7 linked regions of the Oryzias latipes genome follow. The protein of the gene in region 3 purifies or fractionates together with the protein of the main gene of each other region. This does not show direct contact. Links are inferred from orthologs where the notes say so. Each region holds a gene or a part of one and is shown on either strand. Other genes may lie near its edges.

Region 1 (4,117 bases), on a different chromosome or scaffold from region 3:
AGTGACGGATCCATCATGTGTGACAGCAGAATCGTGGTCGTCTGTCCAGGGATAGTAAGATCATGCAGATGATAATAAACATACACTATTATGAAAATAACTGTTTGATTATCGGGTACAAAGGTAAGAGATAAAATGTACCTTTATGTAATGTTTTAGTTTGTTTTCCACAGGGAGATGATGAGTGGAACATCCACCACAAAGGTTCCTGCTCTTCTCCAGAGACAGGAGTCACTGGCTGGCGCTGTTTCCGACTCTGAGGTAGACCATGTCGAAAACGTTCTATGTATCTTCAAAAAGCAAAGGTTAATGATTTGTCGAGCAACGTTAAAAGACTAAATATGAAATGAGATTGTGATGAAACCAGACAGCACGGCACGCACTTAGCCAGCACAGAATCTTCCTGAACTCCTGAGGAATCTTTGGAAGCCTCAGACCTCAGAGGCTGATCTCTTTCCTCCATATCAGGAGTGATGCTACCAAGACGAGATGCGTGTTCAGGGGACTGCCAAGACTCAGCAGCCACAGATTGTCCACCAGTAGAAGAAACATGGCGATCATGTTTCTTAAACAGTTTCTGATTTTTCTGAGCACATGATTGTAATTTTACACCGGATCTCCTGCTTGTGCAACCAGGACTGCGCGTCTGTAAGAAGTACAAGAAGTATGAAGTAATAGTTAGAATCGACTTGACAACAAAGATGTTAATGAAGTTATCTTTAATACTAACACTTTTGTTCTTTGTCTTTGACAGAAGTTGCTTGCTGGATGATTGCTTGTGTGCCCTTCTTTCCATGGATGGTGGCAGATGAAATTTCTGCCCTGTGAGAACAGCATCAACACAATTTTTTTAATAAAAATGATTAAGCAATAGTAAAACGCATAAAATAAGTTGTATGTTTATTATTTTTACTTCTAATTTTCTGACCCCTCCTCTCTAGTCTAATTTAAACTGTACTTTTCTGCTCATTTGGTGGATGATAAAAAAATCCTGACCTGTGGATTTGCACATCCACACCACAACATCAAGCAACACATTGACCCATAACAAACACGTACAACAACAATGACACAGATTTACAAGACCAAAAGTTAAGATTTTGTGAAGAAAAGAAAAACCTACCTAGTTGGCTTTTTGATTAAAGTACACCTAACAAGATGGATGAAACCAGAAAAGCTGTAGCGTTTGAGTTGTTTACGGCAAAGAACACAGCTTGTGGAAATTGACCAATCAGGGGCTGAGTTTTGAATAATGGACAGAACAGTTGTCCAATAATAGTAAGATTCTGCTCACAAAGCATCCAATCAGATCATAGAGTCTACAGCGCGCGGAAGAGAAAACCTTGACAGGGATACTTCTGGGTAAAAAAAAACGCAGTTAGCAACGGTTGTTTGGCCACTAGCTTACCCACAACACTACTTGACCACATCGAACAGAGCGTGAACAGTGTAATATTGTTGTTACATAGATGTAGTTGGTAGGGTAAAATGTTTCTCTTCGTGTCAATTTAATAATTAAATACATGTAGATAAAAAAATTGTGGCGTAATTTTAAGAGTTTGGGGTGAGGCTAACGCAAAGGTTAGCTAACTTAACTGAAAGCAGGAGCGCAGCTAGTTTCGGTGCATATTTAATTGTTTTAAAACAAATTAAACTGTGACTACCTGTAGTTACTGATCTACTACGCAGATCTGTTTTTACCCCCTGGGAAATATTGTTTGACACCATGCACCACGTCAAGATCAAGTCGGAAAGGCCAGGTAAGAGAGAGCAGGGCTATTTTCACGAACTGTTGTTTTATTTAATTAGACACCTTTAGTTAAAAGAGCTTCACAGAGACACCGAAAGGCTCTGGCAGTAAAAAAAAAAGAAGTCAAATAATTTACATTGTAATGTGTAGGGGTAATAACAAACTAGTTAAGCACATTATTATTATATGTATAAAAATAATATAACATTTGGTTTATAATAAATGAAACGTTTAAAAAAAATTAAGCGCAGTTAATTATTTAATTGTGATTTGTGTAATAATTTCTCCTAACCCCTTAAAAACGTCTATTTAGGAATTGGTTGATCCATTGGTTTAGTTCAAGCATTGATTGTAGACAATACAGAAAAGGAAATCACACAGTTTTATCAAACAGAAATAATGAAATGCACTGATTAAAAAAAATGTAAGAAGAAAGTTATAGTAATTACTCATAATCCAGAATCGATTTTTCTGCAATGATGCAGAGAATACACATTTAGGTCACATCAGATTCATTCCATATGATTACCAACTAAAGTCAAGTTTTAATTTTTAATTGAAAAGGAGTAGGAAGACATTTGTATGATCCCACCCCTAGTGAGTTATTTCATTACAAATTTTTGCATCGTTGTCATAATCCAGTTTTGATCCAATCGTTCCTTGTAAATGTAAAATTATGGTACGGTATAGCTTAATAAATTGTGTGTAAATATTGTTAAGGAACCACTAGATTCCATATAGTACTTTGTATCTTCAAAAAAGTCCGATTTCTTTTTTATTTACCATCCAAAATATTTAAGATTTTGGGAACTTCATAGCTAAATTAATTGCACATATCTTTTAATGGTAATAATTTTATGGTTATCCATGTTTTCTGTTATAATTTTTGTAACTGTTTCTATTACAGAGCTGGAGGAAAGCGGTGCACGCAGCAGACTGGATGCTGTGCTGAAAGGACTTGTAGAGAAGAGTGAACATGAGAAGTTAGTGAGATTGTGATGCTTTTTCATAATTCTTTTTATATTCTGTTTTACTGTGAAGCACTTTGTGATTTTTATCTTGAAAGGGGCTATACAAATAAAGTTTATTATTATTATTATCATCATAATGATCGCTCATCACTGTCTAAAATTGTCGTTATGCTTTAAACAGGGATCCAAACGAAAATGATCCTGGGAAAATATCTGTGGATTCTTTAAACAAGTAAGCTCAGTAAATTTTTCTTTTGTTCTGTTTAATTATAAGTGAGGAGGAATTGATATCAGAATCAGAATCTTTTATTATCATTCTGCAGAGCACAATGAAATTTTTTCCAGCAACTCTCGATATAAAAAGGTAGAATAAAATAAAATAAGAATAAGGAGCTATATAAGGCATAAATACTTAAATACTGTACAGTAGAGTGGGGTGAATATTGCACGAGTGGGTATTCCACATTAGAATGGATATTGCACATACAGCATGAATATTGCACACAGTTTAAAATAGAGATATATATTCTAATATACTGCATAAAGCTGTAGTATACAGTATATTATACAGTATACTGCAGCTTTGTACAGTACAGTACATTACAATATACTGTATAAAGCTGCAGTGAATTCAGCTGTTACTTTGATGCTTTTTGAGTATTTTAAATAATGATCAAATGAATTTCTTGTTTTGAGATAACATCCTTTCTGCCCTTTTTAGGGATTTGTCTCCATCATCTGCTGGAAAAAGGTAAGTCTCTGTATTCAGAACGTGGGTTAATAATGTCTTTTATACTTTTTTATGTCCTGTACTGTTCCTAAACATTTTTTTTACAGAAAAGCGACTATTTGAAACAGTTAACATGAATTGTATTTATTGTTTTGATGTGGTATTTTATTTTTATTTTTTTCAGACAATCAACTCGATTTCCACAACACCGTAGAAAGAAAAGGAAAGAGATGGAAGAGGGAATACCAGAGACTAATCAGCATAAACAAAGTAAATTTGACTCTGACTTTTGCTTTTTATTGTGTGCAAGCTTTTCATTTACAGCAGTTTTTCAATTGTTAAGAAGCGTTTCTATTTGATCTGCTTTGCTCCTAGATGCCTACATCATTAAGCTGTTTGATCGCAGCGTCGATTTGGCTCAGTTTAACACCAGCACCCCGTTGTATCCGATCTGCCGTGCCTGGATGAAAAACAATCCTTCTGTTCGAGAGTCTGTAGCCTCCCCCGGCTCCCCGCCCGGCATGACAGAGGAAGAGGTGGGGCTGTCCAACATGTCCAACAAGGGCAATATGAATCTGTATTTACAGGGAAAATTTACCAATCTCTTTGTAATTCAACATCACAATATCATAAAGAGCATTCTTTATCTTTGTTCGTAAAGCAGCA
Region 2 (4,126 bases), on a different chromosome or scaffold from region 3:
GTGAAATGGGGTCACACAAAAAAGCCTTTCCATTAAATTATTAAAAATAAATGTTTTGAATCAGAAAATTCTGTTGCTCACGTTCATCACCTTATTCCATCAGAACTTTTGCAGAGGTAAGATTCCGGTTTCAGACCAACAATGCATGAACTACAACATCAAAAGCCGGACACTCAAAAAGTAGACAACGTTTAGAATATTTAAAAATAAAGGAACAGACATAAACGTTGAGAGGATTTCTCAGTATATCCTGGGATCTGCTCTTTATTCCTGCACAGGTAAATGAGGATTGTTTTTTGTCACACAGCAACTTTCACTTCAGATGTTTAGTCCTTAAAAAGCAGGAGACTGGGAATGTGTTGATGTGACTTTAAGCTCTTCCAGCACATGGACCCCCTCTTCAGGCTTTACGGTAGTCAACCAAACGGCCCAAAGTGGAATTTCAGGAATGCAAAAAGCTCTGATTCATATTGAAACTGGATTAAAAAGTGCTCTGTTTGTACTTTTTACATTTTCGTTAAAGTGCCTAAATGTATAATAAAGGACAGAAAGAGGCTTGTTCTACCTGATTTACAACTTATAAGACTGAAGAGAAAAAAGAGCTTCTTTTTTTTTTTACCATAGTGAACTCAGCATCAGGAAGTTGTCCACAAACACAAAACTGCAATGTTGACTTGGAAGTTTGTGTGAAAGGACTTTGTGAGGGTTATCAGGGTCAACTTTTTCAGAGCAATGAACTTTTCCCTACATGAAAGTTACACCAACATCTGCCTAGTAACAGCAATTCCTCCCATTGGTGCGACTCTAGTCTCCTCCTGTCTGTCTGAACGTCTCACAGGAATCTTTTGAGGTAAAGTCAGCTCCTGTCACGTTTTCAACCGAGCTGAGATTCGCAACTTCCAGAAGTTAAAAGAAGATGCTGATCTGGTTGAAATGACCTGAATCTGTTTCATGTGTCTGAAGTGGGGATGCAGTGTGCACGCGCCCTGAACCTGGTTCCTCTCTGACTGCTTGGATTCCAACCCTGTTTGCTTTCAGCCACAACGGTTGGTGGGATCTCCTGAATGGAGCAAACGGCGTGTCCCTGTCCTTTCGTGGAAACCTCATGTTGTCGGTTTCATTCAATCCCAGGAAGACATATGGTGGGGTGGGGGTTCGGGGGGGTGTAGGATCGCCACCGCCCCCTACCGACCAAAGGATGGAAGCGTTCGCCGGTGGGCCGGACCTCCCACCTCTCCACCAGAGCCCTCCCCCCGCACATACATATGGACATAAAACAATCCCTTCCGCGCGCTCCCCAGCAGACTGCATGTGTCTTTGATACCCCCCGCCCTAACAACCGCTGACGTCACCGCGCGCATCCACCGTTTCTCACCACCTCTCCACTGTGCGCTCTGCAGATCAACTTTGTGTGCGCGCGTGTTCGTGGTCGCGCACGCAACGCGCGCACGGATCGGGGGTTTTGTCTTCGAGAGCAGAGAGGTCTGGCCCTCAGAGGGCTCGCGCGACCGAAGGGGCAGCAGCACGCGGCAGCAGAAGCCACGCGAGAAGAAAGGGCGCTGAAAGTTGGTGTGTGCAGCCTCCTGCCCGCGGGAACACGGCCCGGACCGCCGGCGGACTCCGCTCTCGTCCTGCTACCATGGAGGAGCAGCTGCTGTGCTGCGAGGTGGACTCCATCCGGAGAGCCCACCAGGACGTCAACCTGCTGAACGAGCGCGTCCTGCGGACCATGCTGAAGGCGGAGGAAAACTACCTGCCGGCGCCCAACTACTTCAAGTGTGTTCAGAAGGACATCGCTCCCAACATGAGGAAGATTCTGGCCACCTGGATGTTAGAGGTATCAGCTCTGTGCGTCTAAGCTGCCAGCTGTTCTGACCGGAACCGCAGGTCACGCCAAAGTTTGGAGCGCCTCGCTCACGCCGCTTAGTTTCTTCACGCGGCTTGCTGCTCGCGTGAGGGTTGGCCTCCCTTCGGCTTCGGCCGCGCGCCTCTGATCATCCGCCGACTTCATTCCCCGTCAGCTCTTTTCCATTTCAGCTGATGTTTCGGTCCAACGGGACGTTTTCAGCGAAACGTTCCCGGTGTACACGTATGCAGCCCGGTGCGTGCCAGTTTCTGATTACGCGCCATCTTTGTTGCGGTGTTTGCGGAGCTTCGGGATCTGATTTGAATGATGTCATTTTAACAGAAATAACGGGGAACGGGCCGGTAAAGCGCGGACTTTGACACGAGAAGAGAATAAAGTTTGAAGCGGGATCGAAAGCTGGAGTTTGTTCGGCCTCCGGAGGCGCAGCCACGGCCACGAACTTCACGCCAAAAAACGCAGATTCCTTCGAAAATCCAAAGCGCAGACGGACCGGATCCGTCGGATCTGATACTCAGAAGCATTTCAAACATTTACATCAACTTTCAGTTCAAAAGTCTTTAGGTTAAATATTTTTAATTAATTTTTGAAATGTGGCATCGGGCTGTGCGAGCAGCGGCTGCAGCACGTGAAGAATCTTCGCCTAAAAAATAAAAATAAAAACCAATTTGTTCTCCAAACAAGACAAATGACATTATCATCCGATCAGGCGCGCCTTCAGCTTCATGTATCTGCTAAAATAAGCAGCCTGCGATTTTTGTTAATATTTTAAAGTGTTTTTTGAAAAGATGACGAAGTTGAAATTGGAGTGAAAGTTGCGTCGACGCCACCTTTGTGTCTCCGTCAGAACTGACTGTAAACTCATTCCCGCTGCAGCTTTCACCTGCTTTTCCAGCCTTTTCTTGAGAGTTGGTCTGTAGGTTTTAACAATTTTTTTCCACGTATTTTAAAAGCCGAAAAATGAAAGATGCTTTAGTTTTTCTAAATTAGTTGGAGAGGATCATAGTGTGCAGGATGGAAGACAGACTGCTTACAGAAAGTGAAATCATTGTTCCATTTGAACAGAAAGAAATGTCTCCATGCCAGTGTCGGCCTCTAAAACACTTTATTTTCTTTTTCTTTTAGGTCTGTGAGGAACAGAAATGCGAGGAGGAGGTTTTTCCGTTGGCAATGAACTATTTGGACAGATTTTTATCAGTGGAGCCCACCAGGAAAAGCAGACTCCAGCTGCTTGGAGCTACATGCATGTTTCTGGCATCTAAGATGAAGGAGACGGTACCATTGACTGCAGAGAAACTCTGTATCTACACAGACAACTCGGTCCAACCTGGAGAACTGCTGGTAATTAAGTTCTTGCAGACATGATGTTGCGTAACAATGGGAGAACATGACCAGAATGCCTGAAGGCCGCGTTGGCTGGAGGCAGGGCTCGGTCTGGGTTGCTGGTGCGCCGAGGCTGCAACATGTCAAGCATGCAGTCATGCTACTGATGTACGTTGTGGTTGAAATGTGCATGGAAGTCTGCTGCAGCGTTTGAATGACTGCCTGCACTTTCCCATGGAGACTGGAAGGCCTCTGATTTCATCAATGGTCTTTGGTGGCGTCTGCTAATTTGCAGTGACACCTAGTGGCCGTCAGACAGATGTGCAGACAGTAGAAAGATGTATGCTAGAAAAAAAGAAAATGTCTTGTTCTGTCATTCACTTTGTTTAGGTAGAACATTACAGCCTATTTATGCATAAGAAGGATTCAATATTGACTGCTGGGTCAGCCCTGTCAATTTAGAAACTATCATTGATGGCATTTGATGGAAAATTACATAAAGAAAAACAAATGTTTGTCAACCACAAAATGAAGCATTGCGTCTTCTCTGGTCCTTCCACAGCAAATGGAGCTGCTGGTTCTCAGCAAGCTGAAATGGGATCTGGCTTCTGTCACACCTCATGACTTCATCGAGCACTTCCTGTCCAAGCTGACAATCCACGCATCGACAAAGCAGATCCTCAGGAAACACGCCCAGACCTTTGTGGCTCTCTGCGCTACAGGTACTAGCTCTTTGTTACATGTCTATTGGTTTCTGGGTTGTTGCAGTTTATTAAAACACCAATCACATTTATAGATATTTAACTGGTTAAGATTGAATTAGCCCTAATAGTTGCAAACCACCATGCCGTCAAACAGCGGTGGGAAGTACCAGTGAGCTATTTAGGAAGTCATCTTTTGGTCAGCAAGCCCCAGTCAGTCAAACCTGACCTCACACAA
Region 3 (4,200 bases):
TTCACACGTTTTTTGCACTGTTTTAATATCATCTTTACCTTACTTTTGTATTTATTTTTTCATTTATTTTGTACGCCTTTGGATCGTTGTAATAAAACATAAAAACTGTTTGTTCTCAAATTTTTTTAGTTACCGGTAATACAAATTAGTAAATTTAAAACCTGAAATTGAGTTTTTGTAAAGTTTCATTGTGAAATTATTGGGATATAATTAAAAATATTCTGCTAAAAAAAAAGAGAGACAGAGAGAAGCCGCGGTTGTACTAAAAAACAAATGTCAAGCATTACCACAAAAACTATTTTAAAGATAAATTATTAGAGAAAAATGGAAAGTAGGAAAAAAAGCTGAAAGGGCACCATCCTAGAAAGGCAAACAAAAAATTTGAAAAGGTTTTTTCAAGTCAATATTTCTGAGCTGCGTTTAAAATATTGTTTTTTTTTTTTCAGTAGACAGAAAAAGTTATAATTTGCATAAGAGAATTTGTCATCCTTTCTAAACTCTACACATAAAAACAATTACTCTTAATTAACGCGTTTGCAGATATTTAACAGGAAAAGAGTAAAACATGTAGCAATCAGAAGAAAATCTCACTCCGAGCAACTCTCTTCCATCTTCGTCTAGAAGCGGAACCACTTTGGATAAATCCTGACGAGCCCATTTGGGGAAGGAGGGCTTGTAGTCGGGCATGGATGTGACTCCGGGCCACGCCGTTTCGTCAGGTGTGCCCAGCGTGCGAAAGATCCTGAATAACTGATCGATCTCAGAGTCTCCGGGAAACAAAGCCCTCCTGGTGATCTGTGAACACAGACCATCAGTTTATTATCAGCGTGCTCCTAATTCTTTATTGAAGTTGGTCTTGGGGTCGAGCGCGTTACCATTTCAGCGAAGATGCACCCCAAACTCCAGACATCGACAGCTGTGGAGTAGTATTTGCAGCCGAGGAGGATTTCTGGGGCTCTGTACCAAAGTGTTACCACCTGAAAGATACCACAAAGAATCAAGAACGACTCTAATGTTTTATTATGTGAACCTGATACAAGACAAGAAAAGGTCTGAATCAGATTTTGAAAGAGCAAAGCTAAGAAAATACATATTTTGGGATTTTATCCTTTAAAATAAACATTTTCTCACTATCCAGCACTAAAAATCCCTGAACCACATTAGAAAAACAAAATCAGCTGTTATCAGATCGATTCGTACCTTGTTACAGATGAAGAAAGGGAGGAGCACACTGTACCTCATGAGTGTAGGTGCGGACCGGCACTCCAAAAGCTCTCGCCAGACCGAAGTCTGCCAGTTTGATCTCACCCTGGGCGTTGATGAGGAGGTTTTGGGGCTTCAGGTCCCGATGAAGAACTCTGTGAGAGTGGCAGAAAGCCAGGCCTTGCAGCAACTGGAAGAGATAACTCTAGAAACACAAGACAGTAAGAACAAGGAATCAGGTCTGGACAGTTTCAGGATCTTCTCTTTAAAGAGGACGCTCACCTTCACCAAAGCCAGCGGGATGCCAGTCACAGAGGAAGAGTCCATGAATTTTTTGAGGTCCTGATGGAGGAACTCAAAAACCAGATAGAGTTTGTTTTCTGTGTGAATCACATCCTGCAACCTGGACAAAAAAAAAAAGTTGGTTTAAAACATAAAATCACACAAAATGGGATTCTTTTGAACAAAATAAACATATTTCTGCATGGTTAAACACTTACTTGACAATATTTGGATGACTGAGTTCTTTAAGAAGTGAAATTTCTCGAATCGCTGTGCTTGGTACGCCCTCTGTTTCTCTGGATTAAAGAAATCACAAATTTAAGGATCAGCGGAGATTGTTTTATGAAGTTAAATGCTTCCTTTGTCCCATTGATAAATTGAATACAATTTTCCTAGTTATTGCACAATAATTCATTTTGATTAAGAATCATTTTAAATTAAAGCAATTTGTTGTGTTTATGATGCTTTTCCAAAACTTTATGGACAAATGCACATGAATTTGTAATCATCACTTTTGATCAATTTATTGACTAATTGTGTTTAGTGTTCCATTACCCCCAAAGGCAAATAGAGATGAATAAAACAGATGGTGAATAGATTTTAAATGTAACTGAGTAGGTTTAATTTGACAGTGAAACCAACCAAACAAGAGCTGAATGCTTTTATTTTGTAACATGTCAGTTTTGTTTCAACTTTGTATTATTATTTACTTTTATTTTTTAGGTCTTTGTACATAGAGTGAATTTAAAATGTTTTGTCTTTTCTGTAATTAATGAAACTGTTTCATGAGGGGACTGGAATTAAGCATTTGAGATAATCTGAATCACAACAAACGCTTCTCAGAGGTTTCAACCAGCAGGAAGAAGAACTTTTCACTTACGTATCCAGTCGGATTTTCTTCAGCGCAACCGTTTCTCCGGTCAGTTTGTTTTTAGCTTTGTAAACCACTCCATACGTCCCTTCTCCGATCTTTTCCACTTTCTGAAACGTATCCATTTCCCACCAGAATCGGACCGGACCTCTTTCTTTGTTTCGGAGCTAACGTCTTCTCGGAGGCTACAAGCATTAAGCAGCGCGGGGACCGACCTACAATTACCCGCTTCTCCGGGTTTCGTCATGCGGTCCAGGCTACAACCAAACCAAGGGGTCCCGTTCGAGGACAAACTCTCTCCGGTCAGAGAGCGGCACACAAAAACGGACAGGTGAACATCTGTCAGGTAGTAACACTAACCCCTAAATTGAGGATTAGCCCGGTGGTTGCTCCGCGGTGGAAAACAACACAACGGCGTTTCCCGCGTTGTGTTGCGGGCGTTCGTTTTTGTGCTCGAGACACACCGTACCGTTCAGAGCAGAAGCAATTTATTATTTTCCCTTTTCTTGAATTTAGCAGTAATTAAAGTCAGTCCTGATATATGGCACTGGTGAAGGTAGACCGCTATGTTTATTGTATTTAATCCAATGATTTTATTGCGAACTGGTGTAATTGGAGAAATGAGTTCCTCGTCTTCCGGCGTATAACGGAATAATAAACAAGCCGCACTCTTTGGTCACATGGTCTACGGCGTAAAGGAACCAGAAAGCTACGTAAAAGCGGTTAAATATGAAGGGAAAAAAGTTTAACGCCCACAAATAATGTGTATTTTTGGAACATTTTTTTTTATCAATGTATACATTTTCATAAATGCATTTATATTCCAATTTAACCATCAGTTAAAAAACAAAAATCAAAGACGGAGATTATTTTTTTTTAATTTTAATAACTTTATTGACAAACATTGCACATACAGAATTTCACACCAAGTGCAAATTATTGAAGTTGCCATGAGGTTGAATAACAAAAAAATAATAATAATAATAATAATAAAATGAAATAAATAATAATAAAATAAACAAAATAAAAAAAATAAACACATAATTCAATAAATGAATCAACAAAAGTAATAATACATAAAAGTTTTTTAAAAAAAGCATAAACAGTCAAAATAAAAATAAAAAGACTTCAAAGTTTCAATTGAGACAAAACCTTTTTAAGTGTTTTATTAGTTTCTTTGTTAGTGCAGCATTTCCTTGTCAAACACATTCACACTGTTTTTTGTTAGTGAGATAAAACTGAAATCCCAAAAGATTATAACCACTCCTGACAACTTTTTGGCAAAAAAGTAGTACACTTGTACACCTAAAGTTTACTTCTTAAGTATACCTAAGTATAATTACAGCAAATGTACGCCTACTATACTCCATGTACATGCAGTACAGGAAGTATACTAACAGAATACTTCTCAGAATAAATTATTACATTTTATGTCTTCAATATATAGTGTATAAAAAGTAAACTTAAAGTATAGACTCCAATGGACTATCTTTGCCACAGGATAAGAAAAGTATGTTAGAAAATATTATTAATTTTCTACTTTTGTAAACCAAATTTTACACTAACAAAAAGAAAAAAAAGTTTTTCCTTTGTTCAACTTTTCTATTTGTATTCATTGTAATATATATATATATAAATATATATATATATATATGTATTTGAAGAGATCGAAATTGAAATATCATTGTCAAGTAATCACTTTTATGTTGGTATAAATTATTGAATTACATAAGTAGCCCTCTGCAGTAACGTGGTTCTAATTCAGATGAAACACTGGAATTTATGTATTTTTTATTTTTCATTTATTTTTCAGAACTGTGTATACACAACACGCATACACTGCT
Region 4 (4,222 bases), on a different chromosome or scaffold from region 3:
GTTTTTACTTTCATTAAAACAGCACTGAGACAATGCCAAAGAAAATACTGGTGAAGAAATTACATTTCCTGAGTGTAATTTTATATATAAAATTAGTTTTGAATCTGTGTGTCAGCTTTTCTTATTTATTAAAATGCAAATTCCACATAAAACATCAAGCAATCATTGACAACATCCATGAGGTTAAAGTAGTAAAAAGAAACTTGATGCTCCATACATTTAAACTAGTCATAATCGGTGTTAACAAAGTCTGTATTGTTCAGTAAGATGTTGGAGTCAGTGGAAAGTAAAATTGATACTTTCCACTGTAAAGGTTTGCATCTTTAAGACTCAGGAGCAGAAGGTGTAAAAAAAGGGGCAGAATATTTGCTCCAGTGATAATATTAAAAATTAAGCAAATAAAATAAATGTGAAGATGAAGTTTTACTGATGTTTTGGATATACTTGATTAAAAAAATTTTTTTAACTTTTCTTACTCAGCAAAATTCTATTCTTCTCAATATATTCTCATCAATATAAACATAAAAAGAAAACTGGAAAGGATAATCAGCTGTGTCATAGAAAATCATTCAATTTCACTCTTTTGGTCTAATTGGTCTAAAAAAAACATTTACAATTGCCAGAATATCAGCTCTGCTTTCATCCAAACATGAAATATGAAAAATCATACAAAAAATTTGTCTTCGTGTTTATTTGATTCTTATTCAAGACTCTTTGATGAGAATGCGTATTGTTAATGCAGTCGAAAGAGTTTTAGTGTGTGTGTGAGTGATGGTGGTGTGCCTTGGGATTTTGATAAGAGGACTTTGGCCCGAGACAGTCTGAATATTATGCATTATGCTTTAGTAACATCATTTAAACGTTTATCTTTTTGTTTTGTACATTTGTAAATGATGCAATTTTCTTAAAACAAACATATGTGTAAAACATGAGACAAATTAATATTATTCAGGCATTCAATGTTACAAATGTACAACAACTCCATATATTGATCAACATTAGGAGCTTATTTCCTCAGATTTAATTAATATAGTAACTAGTGTCATTTTTGCAGGACATCTGATGACTTAAGAAAACTCTTCTCACTTTATTTTAAGAGTATTATAATCTACCACACCAAACAAGAGAAAACATTTATTTAACCAGTGTTTTGTTAAGAATGAGGTCACTTTCTTTTAAAAACAAAAACAATTAGACCTTTTAATTTCATTCTAAAATATTTTTGTAATATTTTTAAAAGTCAGAAATATTCCCAATTTGTATTAAAAACTACGGGAATATGTTTTACATGCCCAAAATGTGAAAATAATTCTTTTCAACAAGCAGATTCCTTTTTAAATCTCTAAACAAAAATGTTTTTGCAGATTTGCATCCAGCTTCCGTTTTATTGACGGAAGTGTGTCACACGTCCGGAAATGACGCAACGACGCAGCGTTATTAAACAACAGGCGTTTGCGCGGGCTTCCAGCTCAAATCTTGTGGTTGTTGTAGAAGACGCGTCTGTAGCCCGCGTGCCACACAAAGACTGAACTGCCAAAGCCGCTTTGTCATCGCCTACGTCGTGATTACTCCTCACTGCAGCCTCCTTTTACCGGAGCAGCGCTGAAAACCTCCACCAACCTTTGCCTTCTTTTTCGATCTACGCAACCCTCCACAGAATAACCATGTTTGAGGCTCGCCTGGTCCAGGGCTCCATCCTGAAAAAGGTCCTGGAAGCCCTGAAGGATTTGATCACAGAAGCCTGCTGGGACGTCAGTTCGTCCGGCATCTCTCTGCAGAGCATGGACTCGTCTCACGTATCCCTGGTGCAGCTCACTCTCCGGCACGACGGCTTCGACTCTTACCGCTGCGACAGAAACCTCGCCATGGGAGTCAACCTTAGCAGGTGACGGGGAGAAAAACAACAAAGTTTAATAAGAGGGAAGCTTCGTGTATAATCTGCATGTCATGTGTTCTGCCTATTAAATGTATTTAAAGTGATTATCAGGGGCTGACTTCAAGTTCAGACATTTACGAATTGTTCATGGTAATCGTGTGTGGCGCCAAAATCATCTTGGACGAGTGAAACGTCGATCGTTGTGAGGCCGACAAAGGAGGCCATCTTGCTGGAGAAGCCCGGGCATGTCTCCCTGCTCGGTTAACTCTTTACTGTCCACTCGCTGATTTCAACCAGCAAAAAAACAAAACGTCTAAAACGTTGACATGTGCAAATATGTCTTTGCGCTGTCACAGAGCCGCACTTGCTGCGGTACTTTAGCGCCAAAACTCTTGCCGGCAGTGTTGGCGGGAATCCTCAAAACCCGGGAACTTGCACTTCCGCTTACGTCACTCTTTCATAAGAGTTTCCGGAATTAGATTAGCATGTTGATACAAATACTTGGATCATTTTTTTTAAACATACCACGTTATCGTTTTTAAAATAAATTTACTTCAAACATAGTACTTTATACTTATAGATTAAAAGGTGACATTAATAAAAGCTAAATTTTTGCTATTCAAATAAAAGCTCAAATGTTTTACTGCTTTTCTCAGTATGTCCAAAATCCTGAAGTGTGCGGGAAATGAGGACATCATCACCCTCAGAGCGGAGGACGCCGCTGACACTCTGGCTCTTGTGTTTGAGACCATCAGTAAGTTTCTAACTGTTCGTCATACGGAAACTGTTCATCTGATGAAAATCCTCCAAAGTCTTTATGCTCCTTTTCACTTTTCTGTGTTCCTGCAGACCAAGAAAAAGTTTCAGATTATGAAATGAAGCTGATGGACCTGGATGTGGAGCAGCTGGGCATTCCAGTAGGTATTTTTTAATTACCTCTTCTGCAGTATTTCCCAGCATTCCCTGATCTTCACTTTCTTTGCTCCTGTCAGGAACAAGAGTACAGCTGCGTGGTGAAGATGCCCTCCGGGGAGTTCGCCCGTATTTGCCGTGACCTGTCGCAGATCGGCGACGCCGTCATGATCTCCTGTGCCAAAGACGGTGTTAAATTCTCCGCTTCGGGAGAGCTGGGCACGGGAAACATCAAGCTGTCCCAGACCAGCAATGTGGACAAAGAAGAAGAGGCCGTAAGTATGAGGGGTGGATCTGTCCTGCAGAGGAAAATCGGTTTGTTTTGACATCGTTTTGTAACTTCCCGCTTTCCTTCAGGTCACCATTGAGATGAATGAACCCGTCCAGCTGATTTTTGCTCTCAACTATCTGAACTTCTTCACCAAGGCCACTCCGCTGTCAAAGACTGTAACCCTTAGCATGTCTGCTGATATCCCCCTTGGTAAGGTGGCTTACGTTGTGTGTCCGTCATCACACCTGCTGAAGCTCGACCTCATCACATTTATCTGTTCACAGTGGTGGAGTACAAGATTGCCGATATGGGACACATCAAATACTACTTGGCCCCGAAGATCGATGAGGAAGCTTCTTAAGTTGGAAGCACAGACCGAAAAGGGGGGAGAATGCAGGTGATGGATGACTGGGACTCCTCCTGAAGGACTGAAGGGATCTTACTGTGGTGAACTGTGGTCACTCTGAGGTTCCTGGGCTCAAAATGAAGTCCAGGGACGCTCAGAGTAGCTGGCAGACACATCTGTCGTAGTTTCCAGCAATTGTTTTAGGCCTGTTCTCTCCCTCTTTTTATCCCGTTTGTTTGCAGGTATCCATTCTGTTGTAGATAACACCTCTGTAAATAATTCCTGTGGCGTCACACTGCAAGCTCCAAATGTTTTGTACTCATAAATTCAATCGGAAATAAAGGATTCAAGTTGTTAAAAAACGTTGTTTGCTGTCCACTTTATAGTTTCACTAGCAAACCTTTAATAAGTGCACATGTGTGTGGGTCAAACTTCAGATATTTTTGTTATTTTTCATCTGTTGGTATGCAATTCAAATAGATTTTATTTTTTGCTCCTGTCCCAGAGGAAAAGATGTGTAACCAGAAAACGCCCATTGGGTGGTGCTATTCCCCCTTTTTAAGGTAGAAGAGGTTTCAACGTGACCAAAAAATCAGCTTTTCAGCATGAGATATTCCAGGTTATCCACAGTGTTAGGTTGAGCTTTACAGTACAGTGAACAAAAAAGCAGCTCACTTTGATGGTCTGATTGGGATTTAACCACATAATCTGAGTTCTGAGCCTGCTTTCAGAGAAATTACATCCCACAGCATTATTAAAGTGGACCACCTTCAAATGAAACAAAGATAATCTACATATTCATGCAAATACATCAGAC
Region 5 (3,500 bases), on a different chromosome or scaffold from region 3:
TGGGTTTATGTGCAGCCTGAGACTTTGATTCGTGAAGCTGCATCACTTGGAAGCTGCTGAGGGAGAGCCGAGCCAATATTCTGCCGCTCGCTCCTCTGAAAGATGTCTGATTTCATAAAGAAGAGGCTCAGGCAGAACTATTGGGCTCAGATTTGTGTAGGAAAACATGAAACAGGCTTTGCTCCACCTCTGAAAAGTGCGCCATCCAATTACAGCTGAGGAGGAGCACAACTAAAGCAAGCAATGGAATAACATGATGACAAAAATGAAAAAGATGTCGGAAAAGCAAAAATAGATGTGATTGTAAATGAAAGCATTTGACTTGTGAACTGCAAAAACTCCATTTCTGAAATCTTATCAGACTCTCCAACTTACCACTGTATTCGAGGTCACATATTTATTGTCTGCAGCCTTTTTAAAATGCCAGGATTTTCTACACTTGCATATCAGAATCAAAATACAGTGTGGTTCGCTGAAATGTTCACAAGTCACTGCTTTCATTGACAATATTATTCAGACAAGACATTACAAGCTAAAGCACACACAAGTCTAGCAACGTAATTTAACTTCTGTCATGCAATGAAGCAAAAACAAACAAAGATTAATAGGAATTTAAAGTACATCTATAATTCAAAGCAAAAATGAAATGAAAAAAAAAGAAAAGAAAAATGCCTTGGATGAAGAAAAAAAAAACTAAGCATTCACAGGAGTTGAAGCAAAATGGCAGCCAGCGCAGTCCCTTACCAGGTTAGTTTTGTTACTAGTTCGAATACGTACAGGTATTCCTAATAACTGGGGGTCCACCGGCTGGCGGAAGGGAAGAGACTCTGGGTCCTGGCGGTACAAAGCCTCCAGGGTTGGCATCAGAGCCTGACGCAGCTCCTCCGGCTTAAAGACTTGAAAAGAAAATGAAAAGAGCAAAAAGAAAGACATTAAAAAAAAGAGTTTAGAAAAAAAGACCAGAGCTCCAATGAAGGACTTGAATTCCTGTTTGAAGCTGGTTCCAAATCTAAAGTAAACTTCTGCAGGTCAGCTGACCAAGTCACCACAAGGTGGTTTATCACAAAGATAAGTCACTTCCAAAAAGGTATTTTCCTTGTATTAATTGTATTAAACAATTTTTATCCTTCCTAATTAAGTGTGCTATATTTAATCGAACTACAAGATTTAAAGTGGGCTAAAACCGGACCGTAGTCTTTTTAATCACAGTTGAACTCCTGGCCCCAATGGTAATGCCTGTCAGGCTCACATATCTGATAAAGACCAGGGTTTGATGAGGTCAATTCCAGCCGAGATGGTCGAGACTAAAGAGCTAAAACACAACATTTAAATCAGCATGAGACAAATCACAACATCCCATCATTATGCTGCCTCTGGAGTCAAGGAGCCCCAAACTTCACAATGGGTGGCAGGTAAACTTTACAATTGTCTCCATCAGTGTTTCTAAACGCCGGTTTCATACTGTTAGGTGTTTTCAACGTTACTTTCCTCTCAAATGTCAGATTCGGCCATCTTTCAGCTAAAACAATGATACTCATTAAATGGTAAATGGCCTTCCTTGAAGGCCCAAAGCGCTTTACAGTCACAAACCCATTTACACACACACACACTTTTACACACTGGTGGCGGCTCCGCTGCCGACCACTGGCGCCAGCCTTCCACCAGAAGCAGGGTGGGGTTCAGTGTCTTATCCAATGAATACTTCGACACATGGTCGGGCAAGGCGGGAATCGAACCTGCAATCTTCCGATCTTCCGACCACCCTACCGCTGCACCACGGCGGCCCTTTAAAGCTTGGTGTGTTTAAACTGGCTAAGAAAGGAGGACCAAGGTTATGTTAATGTCAATGAACATTCCGTGGGGGCATTTTGAAGACAATTATTTAACACTATGGTTACCAGATATAACCTGACCAAATCTGGAGTTTGATCGAAAATAGTTCACTGGATGTCCGGCACACACACTACTGGAGCTGAAGACTGATCAATCTGTGATTGAAAACATCGCCATATATGAGCAGAATTTCAAATCAAAGTTAGCATTATGGTTTATAAAATTCAGACCCAGAATGGGACTGGATCTGCTTGTATGAAAAGCTATTTAGTGGATATCTTGAGAGCCGACTTGACTCCGGTATTACTTACAACTGTCAGGAAAAAACCAGAAGAAATAGATGCATTTCTAGACCCGCCGTCTCTATACGGACAGCAAATATTTATAATCGCCTGAAACTTTAAATAACCAGAAAAAAAGGCAAAAGAATCAAACAATCTCATCAGCTCATCACAGAGTATTTTCTGGGCCCATCAAGGTGGATGAGATCCGTTCGGGTGATGACGATGACAGAGTGACGACTTGATGCTCACTTTTCTTCTTGCTCTGAGCAGTGGCTGGGGAGCTGTTGGTGGTCGTTGACCCCTCCTCTTCCTCTTTAGGCTCTTTCTTCACCACTGGCTTTTTGTCCTCACTTGCTCCTGCAGATGACTCAGAGGAAGAAGAGGTATCCATGGGCTCGCCTTTACACCCATCTCCAGATGGCTTCTCTTTCTTAATCTGAGAGACAGAATTAAGATTTACTTTCTCCTTCGCTGAAATGCAGTGATTCACAGCTAAACTCCAAATCTTTGACAGTCTCACAGAACCTCACCTCTGGCTTTTCCTCTGCCTTCACCTCTGATGAACCCCTTTCAATATGTCCTTTGCCATCGCCCTGCCCTTCTGCTCCTTCATCTTCCTCCTCCTCCTTTTTCACTTCCATTTTGACATTGTCCAGGCTGAGAGCAGGGCCCTCGACAGCGGCGAGCTGGGATGTGGGATCGTTGGCGCTTGCGACCGACGCAGGAGAAGAAACGTGTCCGTCTGCCGTTAGAGAAGGCTTTGGCGAGAGCTGAGGCAAAGGGGGAGGAGGGAGGACAATTAGAACACACCCACTGCTTTCCTACACTTAAAAAAATAAATTCCGGACTTTCTAGACTAACATTTTATAATAAAAATGATCAAGATCCACCCCTTTTTGTCATTTATTTCAGGAACTTTAAGTCATAACTGCTGATGAGGGACAGCAACAAAGAACTTCCTAACCAAACTAAATTAGGAACTAAACGACTGTCATCTCTAGACCAGCATTTGCATTTTTACTGCGGTCCGATATGTTTGCTGGATTAGGCAAATCAGGTGTGCTGCAGAGTACGGTTCCTCCTGGCCACAACCACACCTTTACTGCAGCTCATTCTGTTGTCAGGCTGTTGACTTTCTGTGCTGCAAAAACTCAAAAGATCTCCTGGACAAAGTCGGGAATAGAATGACGATCAAAACAAATCTCATGTTTTGGTCAAATCTTTCAGAAATGGTAGCAAAGACAAAATGACCCCAAATTACCCTGAATCCAATTAAAAAACGAACTGCAAGAGATATTCTCAAATTTAAAACAATCCCACCCACAACTCAGAGGTGAATTTCTAATAAACTACTGCCGCTCTGCAGAAACTATGTCCTAGAAA
Region 6 (2,281 bases), on a different chromosome or scaffold from region 3:
ACAGGCTTTGAAAAACGTGTGAAACCCACATTCTTGAAGGTGCTTTCATCATAAGGTGGACCTCTTCTGTTTCTATCGAATACTACCGCATGTCTACCACCCACAGTTAGGAGAGGTCTGGTGTCAAAACGATTCACAACTCATGAATCTCGTTCCAGCTCTTTTATTCTGAAAAATAAAAGACTTTATGTCAAGTTTCAAACAGTTGAAACTCCCGTAAGTGAAAAGGGACGTCATCCATTTATCACCACAAACTCCAAGTCTGATTGGTCAAAGGTCAGCTCAGTTTAAAATTTAACGGATGTCCAAAAACGGACTTAAATCATTCATAGTGATGCGAGAGCGTTTTGAACATGGCGGTCCAAAACGCGCAAAGACGTAGACGAGGGCGGTGGGAACGTAGCATTGAAGCTGATTGTTGTGTGTTTTTACTCTTGTTTCTCACCTAAAACATTTTCTGCGCAGAGAAAAGCTCAGGAGCGTCAGATCGACAGCCACGACTTTCAGATGTCGCCTGTTGCTACGGCAGCCACCTTGACTCCTCCCAGCAGTACAGAGAAACCCACCAGTGTCTGAGGAGCGAGTAACCATAAAGTCCAGCTACCTCTCTGCTGTCCAACGGGGCGCCATCGCTGACTTCCTGGGATGCATCGCTGTGGATGGCGCTTTTTTGTTTTCATTTTTTTGCTTCCTTTTTGTTTTTTGTTTTGTTTTTTCCTCATGAACACTAAGTTCAGGTTTCTGGGACCAAAGAAGGTTGCCAGACTATGAATCTTTTGCAGAAATTGCAGTTTACAGTCAGATTGGCCAATTTTATTCAAAATGTTCTTATTTTAATTGAGTGTTGATTTAGGTTTTTACCACCATCAGTTTTACTTGTTTCTGGAGGAAGAGGTGAAGGCGGTAAATGTGGCTTTTAAGTATAAATATGAATTTCTGCTGGTTGATCATATTGTCTCAGAACTTCACTGGTCATCTGCCAACATTGATTCTTCGGTGCTTCAATCATTCCTCAGGAAATGACAAATTCCTGTGGTTTATGCCGCGGACTCCCATTCCACTGTGGAGTTTTCAGGTGCTCTGAGTCCAAGCCGACGTGACCATCGATAACTGCCTCGTGGAATAACTCTCAATTGTTGCCTCAGCGCACCGACCGGCTGAAGTTAAATGAACCACAGAGGGTTTTTGTAGCCACACGAGGTAAAGGAATGGTTCCTGTGTGTTTTCTTTTGAAATGCATGTGACGTGCCTGTGCTTAAATTGTCTTTCACTCATGTTTTTATTTTTTTTTGGTAACTTGCAACTTGGTTGCACCTTCTTGTTACATTCCTGGGGAAACTTGACAATTGTACAAAGTTTCATTTTAAGTGCTCGTATTTATTGAGAATCCATAGCATATAAAAATAAAATGTTCATATGTAGAATTTTTCAGAAATGGAACTCAATCTGATTGTTGCCAAAGGCAAAAGCTATTTATGATTCTGCCCTTTACCACCTTTGTGAATGACAGTTCTGTCCTTCTGTGTGTGCGTCAACCAACTCTGATTTTGTGCCTTTTTTGGGAGACAACTGCTTAGTTTGTTCTGAAGCGAGCCGAACGGACGAGCGAACGAACGCCATCAAATCCTGTGACTGTGCGATTTTTGCAGCCATCGAGTAACCATGTGAACTGTGTGTCGATGCTCAAGAATGTATCATTTTTGTAAATAGAGCAATTCAGAAATGTGTAATTTCATTTTTATATTCAAATGTTTTAAATAAACGGAGGGAGATTAAGCGGGTGGAAATGTCTTTGAGAAGGAATGACGTTACTGCATTCATTCATGGGAAATACTATAGAGATGATGTACTTATATATTTATATATATATATTACATGTAAAATGACTTAAACATAGAGATATTAGCCTTTATACAAACATGAGACAGTAAATAATAAATTTGCCAAAAACTGTTAAATTATTTGATTGAAAAGGAGTAAGAGGAAGTGAATTCATATTATCTCCATCTATTCTGCTTTACTTAATTATTTTTCTTTACATAGTTACCTTCATCCAGGTCTCAGTTATTCATACTTCACCAGTACAAGTGCAGATCATTTATCAAATAAGTATTAATATCAACTAGCAAAGATTAAGTACTTATTGATTTCATAAAAATACATTAATGTATTACAGAAATCATTATTACGTGCAGAGTGCTGATAAATTATGATTAAGAAGAGATTAATTACATGAATTGTCACTAATCAAAAGCAGAAGACTCTCCTAACCTGTTGTGAG
Region 7 (4,221 bases), on a different chromosome or scaffold from region 3:
GAACAGCTGTGATGGACGCTTAAACCTGGGGAGAACAGCCAAACTCTGCAAGGTGAGGTTGTGAAAGACATGCACATTTCTAACATCTTGTAGTTAAATTAAAAAATTTTACTGCATCAAGTAACTTATAAACTTAAAGATATGTAGTTCAGGGTGTAGCGGTTCATTTTAACAACAAATCAATTTATATCATGATTTGCTGTTCCTGATACAATTAATAGCCAATATTGGTTCATTTTGAACGATCCAGTTCAATCACTGACCTAAAATCCAGCCAGGACATTTTTAGCCAAAACTTTTAAACCAGTGTGACTCTGGTACTCTGATACTTCTGGCAAGTGTAGAGTTGATGTGTACACATAAACAAGTAAACAAAAATTAAAAGAAAATCCATTCAAATTTTGGTTTCATAAAGTTGTAACACATGACCACATGTCTTTACACAATTCAAAGTGTTTCCACACATTGGACTGTAACATTCTTTTTTATTTTTTGGCTGCCACCACATATGTGTTGTCTGCTGTGATGCACTTGGTCGCTTTTATGTTACGGTAAAATAAACCTACCATGTCTCCAAATGCTATTTTCCAATCTTGACATTTTCGATTTATTTAATTTTGAAAAGATTTTATAATAGTTTGAATAGATAATAGATTAACAACTGCCCTAGAAAATATGTAGAAATATAAAATTGTTTCACTGATTAAGTCGATTAATCGTTACACCCCTATAATAACTTTTAAACTTAAATTATGTGGTAACATTTTTGTGGTTAAAAAAAATAAAGTCGTTAGGATGCAATACTGAACTCAAATAGTTAAATTCAAAATATTTAATTTACAAACCAATGTTTACACAGTACACTAATTCGCACTGCTTTGCAACCTTGAAAATGTTTCAGTCAATGACAATGTGGTTTGGAAGAAAAGCTTTAGAGGGGAAAATAATTTTCAAATATTCATTTGAAGAACGGTGCCTGCGTGTGCGCGCGTGGAAGTGCGTTTTCTTCAAGTTTAAGTTGCTAAGAGTTCGAGTTAAACTTTCTCCTCTACCAAAAATTCTTGCAACCAATACTTCCCCTAAAATCGCAATAGAAAAACTACTAACCGTCTTTTTTCATACTTTTTTCAATGTTACATTAAAAATAAATCACTAGAAATACATGTTCGTGCTAGCAAATGTATTTTTTACGTGGTTTTATTTTTTCATGAACATTTGCACACGGTCCCTAAAACGAAAGCACCGTCCCGTCATACCTCGCGTGGCCAACGGCTCTCCACCGACTGCTCCTTCATTGAATTTCCATACTCGCTGCTTCAGCTCGATTTTGCTCAGTTATTTTCAGAAAAGCAGCTAGTATTGACTCGTAAATTTGCACCACACCATCCACGCGTGTGTGTTTCGAACTGCGGCGGTGGAGCTTTCTTTCTTGGGCTCGCTGGCTGGATTTAGTCGGAAAGCAGGCAAGAGAAGAGGGGAAGTACGGAGCTGATCCGGAGCAATGATGGAGCTGGAGACGGCCAGTAACAGAGGCGACCCGGGAACCGTGGGAGACTCGCTGCAACCGCAGACGCCGAGCAGGCACGAGAAGAGCCTGGGCTTGCTCACGACGAAGTTCGTCACTTTATTACAAGAGGCGAAGGACGGAGTCCTGGATCTGAAAGCTGTGAGCTCTTTGTTGTTAGCTAGCACATGTCACTTTGAGCCAGCCCGCAGTCGTTAAGTTACATGGTATCTAGCTAGCATGCTAGCCTAGCTTAGCTGTGTGACAGGCTAATTTGAATGAAAGATAGCTTTGCCTTCTAAGTTTGTTGTTTTAGTTCACCACTTTTACAATTAAAATCACATTTAATATTTTATGGTGCAGATTTTTGCCTTTCTGAGTGAAGAAACGAAGTGAATTTCAAGAACACCGGTCAACTTTTTTCGACTCTCTGCCCCCCTGCAGATTCAAAGTTTAGAAAGTGGGTCAGCTTTTGTCATTCTACTCTCAGTTAAAGCCACTGCACCTTCACACTTGAGCAAGTTTGTTTTATGATTGATTGCGTCTTTGTCCACGAACGACATGCGTTTATAATGTTGCTTTTCAGAAATGACTCAAAGCGTGAAGTAGTACTCGCACAGATGTTGATTAAATTAGGCTAGCTTTGTTTTTCACAGTACAGGGGCCACATTTCCACATTTCCATCACTAGCTTTAATGCAGGAATGTTTACTATTGGGATTCTGCTAAAGTCCCACATTGTTTGATGTAAAAGCTCAAATAGTTTTCTACAAATACAAAAAAATATATAACGTTTGCACTTTTCATATTTTTACATTAGGGGTGTTACGATTTATTTGAACAATTTGATCCACTTTATAATTTGTGCTTCACGACATGATTTATAGTCCGGGACATCTTTAGCCAAAACATCAATCAGTGGGACTCAGAGATAAATAAATGGGTACTGAACAGTGTCACTTGTATTTCTTGTAAATGTAAATAAAATGGCTTAACAAACAAACAAGTAATTCCCATTTTAGTGTCAAAGTTCAGCCCACTTTTGCCATAGATAGGGTTGTTACGAATAATCAGTAAATCGATTTATATTGCTGCGATCCAACCAGATTGACCTGAAGCAAGTTGTTAATTGAGTCAACGTGTTTTATTATTATAAAATCCTTTCAAAATGAAATAAATCAATTATATGGATATAGGAAAACACCATTTGGATTGAGGTTCTGAAGGTTTATTTGACCATAACTGTAAAAATAACCGAGTGCATCACAGTAGACAACACGCATGTGACGGCAGCAAAGCATGACCAACCATCATTACGGCTCGATGTGTGGAAACATAATTTTTGACCATACAGTGTGGTCATATGTCGCAACTTGATGAAACCAAAAATGTGAATGGATTTGACTAGGGCTGCACGATATAATGAGGAAAACTCGCGGTATGCGATATTAGTGATAAACATTGCGATGAGGATATAACTTGCGATACATGAACAAATAGCAAAACGATCAAAACCATAATTTCCATTTCACTGCAACAGTTTTAATTTAAATAAGAGTTGCCCCTCGTCTACATAGGAGGCCAACATAAAAGAGCTCCATCCCATTGGTCAACCACGTGAAAGGCTCCATCTGATTGGTCAAATGTTTAAATGAATTTATTTGATTCATTAAATACTTCAAGCTGCTATGAGATTGTTTTAGCACTCTTAAGGTTACGATTTATTGCAATTTTTGCAGACTTTTGCATGATATATCATATCATGATAACGATAAATTAGTGATTTATTGTGTCTAGATTTGCCATTCATTCTTGTTTGTGTGTTTGTACACTTATTTAATTTACGCTTGGTTATTTTGCAAGGAATCTGGAAAACCTCCGCTGTGCTGTTCAGTACCAGGTATTTCTCTCTGAGTCCCACTGATTGATGTTTTGGCTAAAAATGTCCTGGATCTATTTTAGGTCAGTGAATCGGATCGTTCAAAATGAACAAATATCTACTATAAATCGTATTGTCAACCACAAATTATTATATTAACCGAATTGTTCAAAAGGATCAATACACCCTAAAAAATGTAACATTCTTAGAACATTCTAGCCCACTGGATGGGACCATGTCTTTGCTAAATTCAAAGTTTTTCCACAAACTGGACTGGAATGACGGTTGATCAGTTTTTGCTGATATCACTTGTGTGTTGTCTGCTGTGATGGTCGATTTTACATTATAGTAAATAAACCTAACGTGCCTCAATCCAAATGGTATTTTCCAATATAACTAATTTATTACATTTTGAAAGGATTTTTTTTTAATGGTATAGGTCGCTTGGATCAGCAACTTGCCTCAGACAGATTTATTTGGTTGGATCGTAGTAATATAAATCAATTTATCAAATAAGTGGATTGATTGTTTCCCCCCTAATGTACATATTTTTCTATAACAGTCATAGAAGAGAGACACTTGAGTCTAAAATCATTTAAATTACAACACACTGATTCTGTTTTGTTATTTTCTTAACTGTCATTTTGACCATTCAGGCATTACATTATGTATGAAGAGTTCTGCTTCTTCTCTTTTTGAGTCTGTCTTCCTGATCATTTCCTTCTTGTGTGACTGGGTTGATATAGTGTCTGCTGATACTCTAAGCTGCGCTGCACCTCGCAGATAAAACACTCCACGCACGTGCACACATTTTTTTTCTTTTTCTTTCCAACTGACTT

The links.
Region 1: the proteins of cdk2 (region 3) and lin37 purify together in Homo sapiens (affinity purification with mass spectrometry; 3 studies listed by BioGRID and IntAct, with this or other methods). This does not show direct contact. The link is inferred for Oryzias latipes from reciprocal best matches to the Homo sapiens genes CDK2 and LIN37.
Region 2: the proteins of cdk2 (region 3) and ccnd1 purify together in Homo sapiens (affinity purification with western blotting; 12 studies listed by BioGRID and IntAct, counting the BioPlex papers as one, with this or other methods). This does not show direct contact. The link is inferred for Oryzias latipes from reciprocal best matches to the Homo sapiens genes CDK2 and CCND1.
Region 4: the proteins of cdk2 (region 3) and pcna purify together in Homo sapiens (affinity purification with mass spectrometry; 8 studies listed by BioGRID and IntAct, counting the BioPlex papers as one, with this or other methods). This does not show direct contact. The link is inferred for Oryzias latipes from reciprocal best matches to the Homo sapiens genes CDK2 and PCNA.
Region 5: the proteins of cdk2 (region 3) and histone acetyltransferase p300 purify together in Homo sapiens (affinity purification with mass spectrometry; 3 studies listed by BioGRID and IntAct, counting the BioPlex papers as one, with this or other methods). This does not show direct contact. The link is inferred for Oryzias latipes from reciprocal best matches to the Homo sapiens genes CDK2 and EP300.
Region 6: the proteins of cdk2 (region 3) and ccne2 purify together in Homo sapiens (affinity purification with mass spectrometry; 10 studies listed by BioGRID and IntAct, counting the BioPlex papers as one, with this or other methods). This does not show direct contact. The link is inferred for Oryzias latipes from reciprocal best matches to the Homo sapiens genes CDK2 and CCNE2.
Region 7: the proteins of cdk2 (region 3) and e2f4 purify together in Homo sapiens (affinity purification with mass spectrometry; 4 studies listed by BioGRID and IntAct, with this or other methods). This does not show direct contact. The link is inferred for Oryzias latipes from reciprocal best matches to the Homo sapiens genes CDK2 and E2F4.

The regions. Positions count from the first base shown.
Region 1 is NC_019874.2:15,177,520-15,181,636, reverse strand, and holds the start of lin37 (protein lin-37 homolog), read left to right. Parts: upstream 1-1,317; 5' UTR 1,318-1,362; intron 1,363-1,689; 5' UTR 1,690-1,726; coding exon 1,727-1,760; intron 1,761-2,657; coding exon 2,658-2,733; intron 2,734-2,902; coding exon 2,903-2,953; intron 2,954-3,442; coding exon 3,443-3,472; intron 3,473-3,635; coding exon 3,636-3,721; intron 3,722-3,826; coding exon 3,827-3,987; intron 3,988-4,117. Other genes in the region: proser3 (proline and serine-rich protein 3), read right to left, coding at 1-41, 142-290, 384-646, 731-796.
Region 2 is NC_019861.2:4,929,971-4,934,096, reverse strand, and holds the start of ccnd1 (G1/S-specific cyclin-D1), read left to right. Parts: upstream 1-1,326; 5' UTR 1,327-1,639; coding exon 1,640-1,837; intron 1,838-2,989; coding exon 2,990-3,205; intron 3,206-3,749; coding exon 3,750-3,909; intron 3,910-4,126. UniProt on the Homo sapiens protein: Regulatory component of the cyclin D1-CDK4 (DC) complex that phosphorylates and inhibits members of the retinoblastoma (RB) protein family including RB1 and regulates the cell-cycle during G(1)/S transition.
Region 3 is NC_019863.2:27,093,792-27,097,991, forward strand, and holds the start of cdk2 (cyclin-dependent kinase 2), read right to left. Parts: upstream 2,801-4,200; 5' UTR 2,482-2,800; coding exon 2,366-2,481; intron 1,782-2,365; coding exon 1,704-1,781; intron 1,607-1,703; coding exon 1,486-1,606; intron 1,409-1,485; coding exon 1,238-1,408; intron 978-1,237; coding exon 876-977; intron 796-875; coding exon 592-795; intron 1-591. UniProt on the Homo sapiens protein: Serine/threonine-protein kinase involved in the control of the cell cycle; essential for meiosis, but dispensable for mitosis. Phosphorylates CABLES1, CTNNB1, CDK2AP2, ERCC6, NBN, USP37, p53/TP53, NPM1, CDK7, RB1, BRCA2, MYC, NPAT, EZH2.
Region 4 is NC_019867.2:6,551,446-6,555,667, reverse strand, and holds pcna (proliferating cell nuclear antigen), read left to right. Parts: upstream 1-1,422; 5' UTR 1,423-1,664; coding exon 1,665-1,885; intron 1,886-2,102; exon of another isoform or gene 2,103-2,532; coding exon 2,533-2,630; exon of another isoform or gene 2,631-2,719; intron 2,720-2,725; coding exon 2,726-2,793; intron 2,794-2,812; exon of another isoform or gene 2,813-2,868; coding exon 2,869-3,063; intron 3,064-3,145; coding exon 3,146-3,269; intron 3,270-3,343; coding exon 3,344-3,420; 3' UTR 3,421-3,767; downstream 3,768-4,222. UniProt on the Homo sapiens protein: Auxiliary protein of DNA polymerase delta and epsilon, is involved in the control of eukaryotic DNA replication by increasing the polymerase's processibility during elongation of the leading strand.
Region 5 is NC_019866.2:19,365,422-19,368,921, forward strand, and holds part of histone acetyltransferase p300, read right to left. Parts: intron 2,888-3,500; coding exon 2,648-2,887; intron 2,554-2,647; coding exon 2,367-2,553; intron 897-2,366; coding exon 745-896; intron 1-744. UniProt on the Homo sapiens protein: Functions as a histone acetyltransferase and regulates transcription via chromatin remodeling. Acetylates all four core histones in nucleosomes. Histone acetylation gives an epigenetic tag for transcriptional activation.
Region 6 is NC_019874.2:25,659,709-25,661,989, reverse strand, and holds the end of ccne2 (G1/S-specific cyclin-E2), read left to right. Parts: intron 1-465; coding exon 466-576; 3' UTR 577-1,781; downstream 1,782-2,281. UniProt on the Homo sapiens protein: Essential for the control of the cell cycle at the late G1 and early S phase.
Region 7 is NC_019864.2:28,153,448-28,157,668, reverse strand, and holds the start of e2f4 (transcription factor E2F4), read left to right. Parts: upstream 1-1,421; 5' UTR 1,422-1,501; coding exon 1,502-1,666; intron 1,667-4,221. UniProt on the Homo sapiens protein: Transcription activator that binds DNA cooperatively with DP proteins through the E2 recognition site, 5'-TTTC[CG]CGC-3' found in the promoter region of a number of genes whose products are involved in cell cycle regulation or in DNA replication.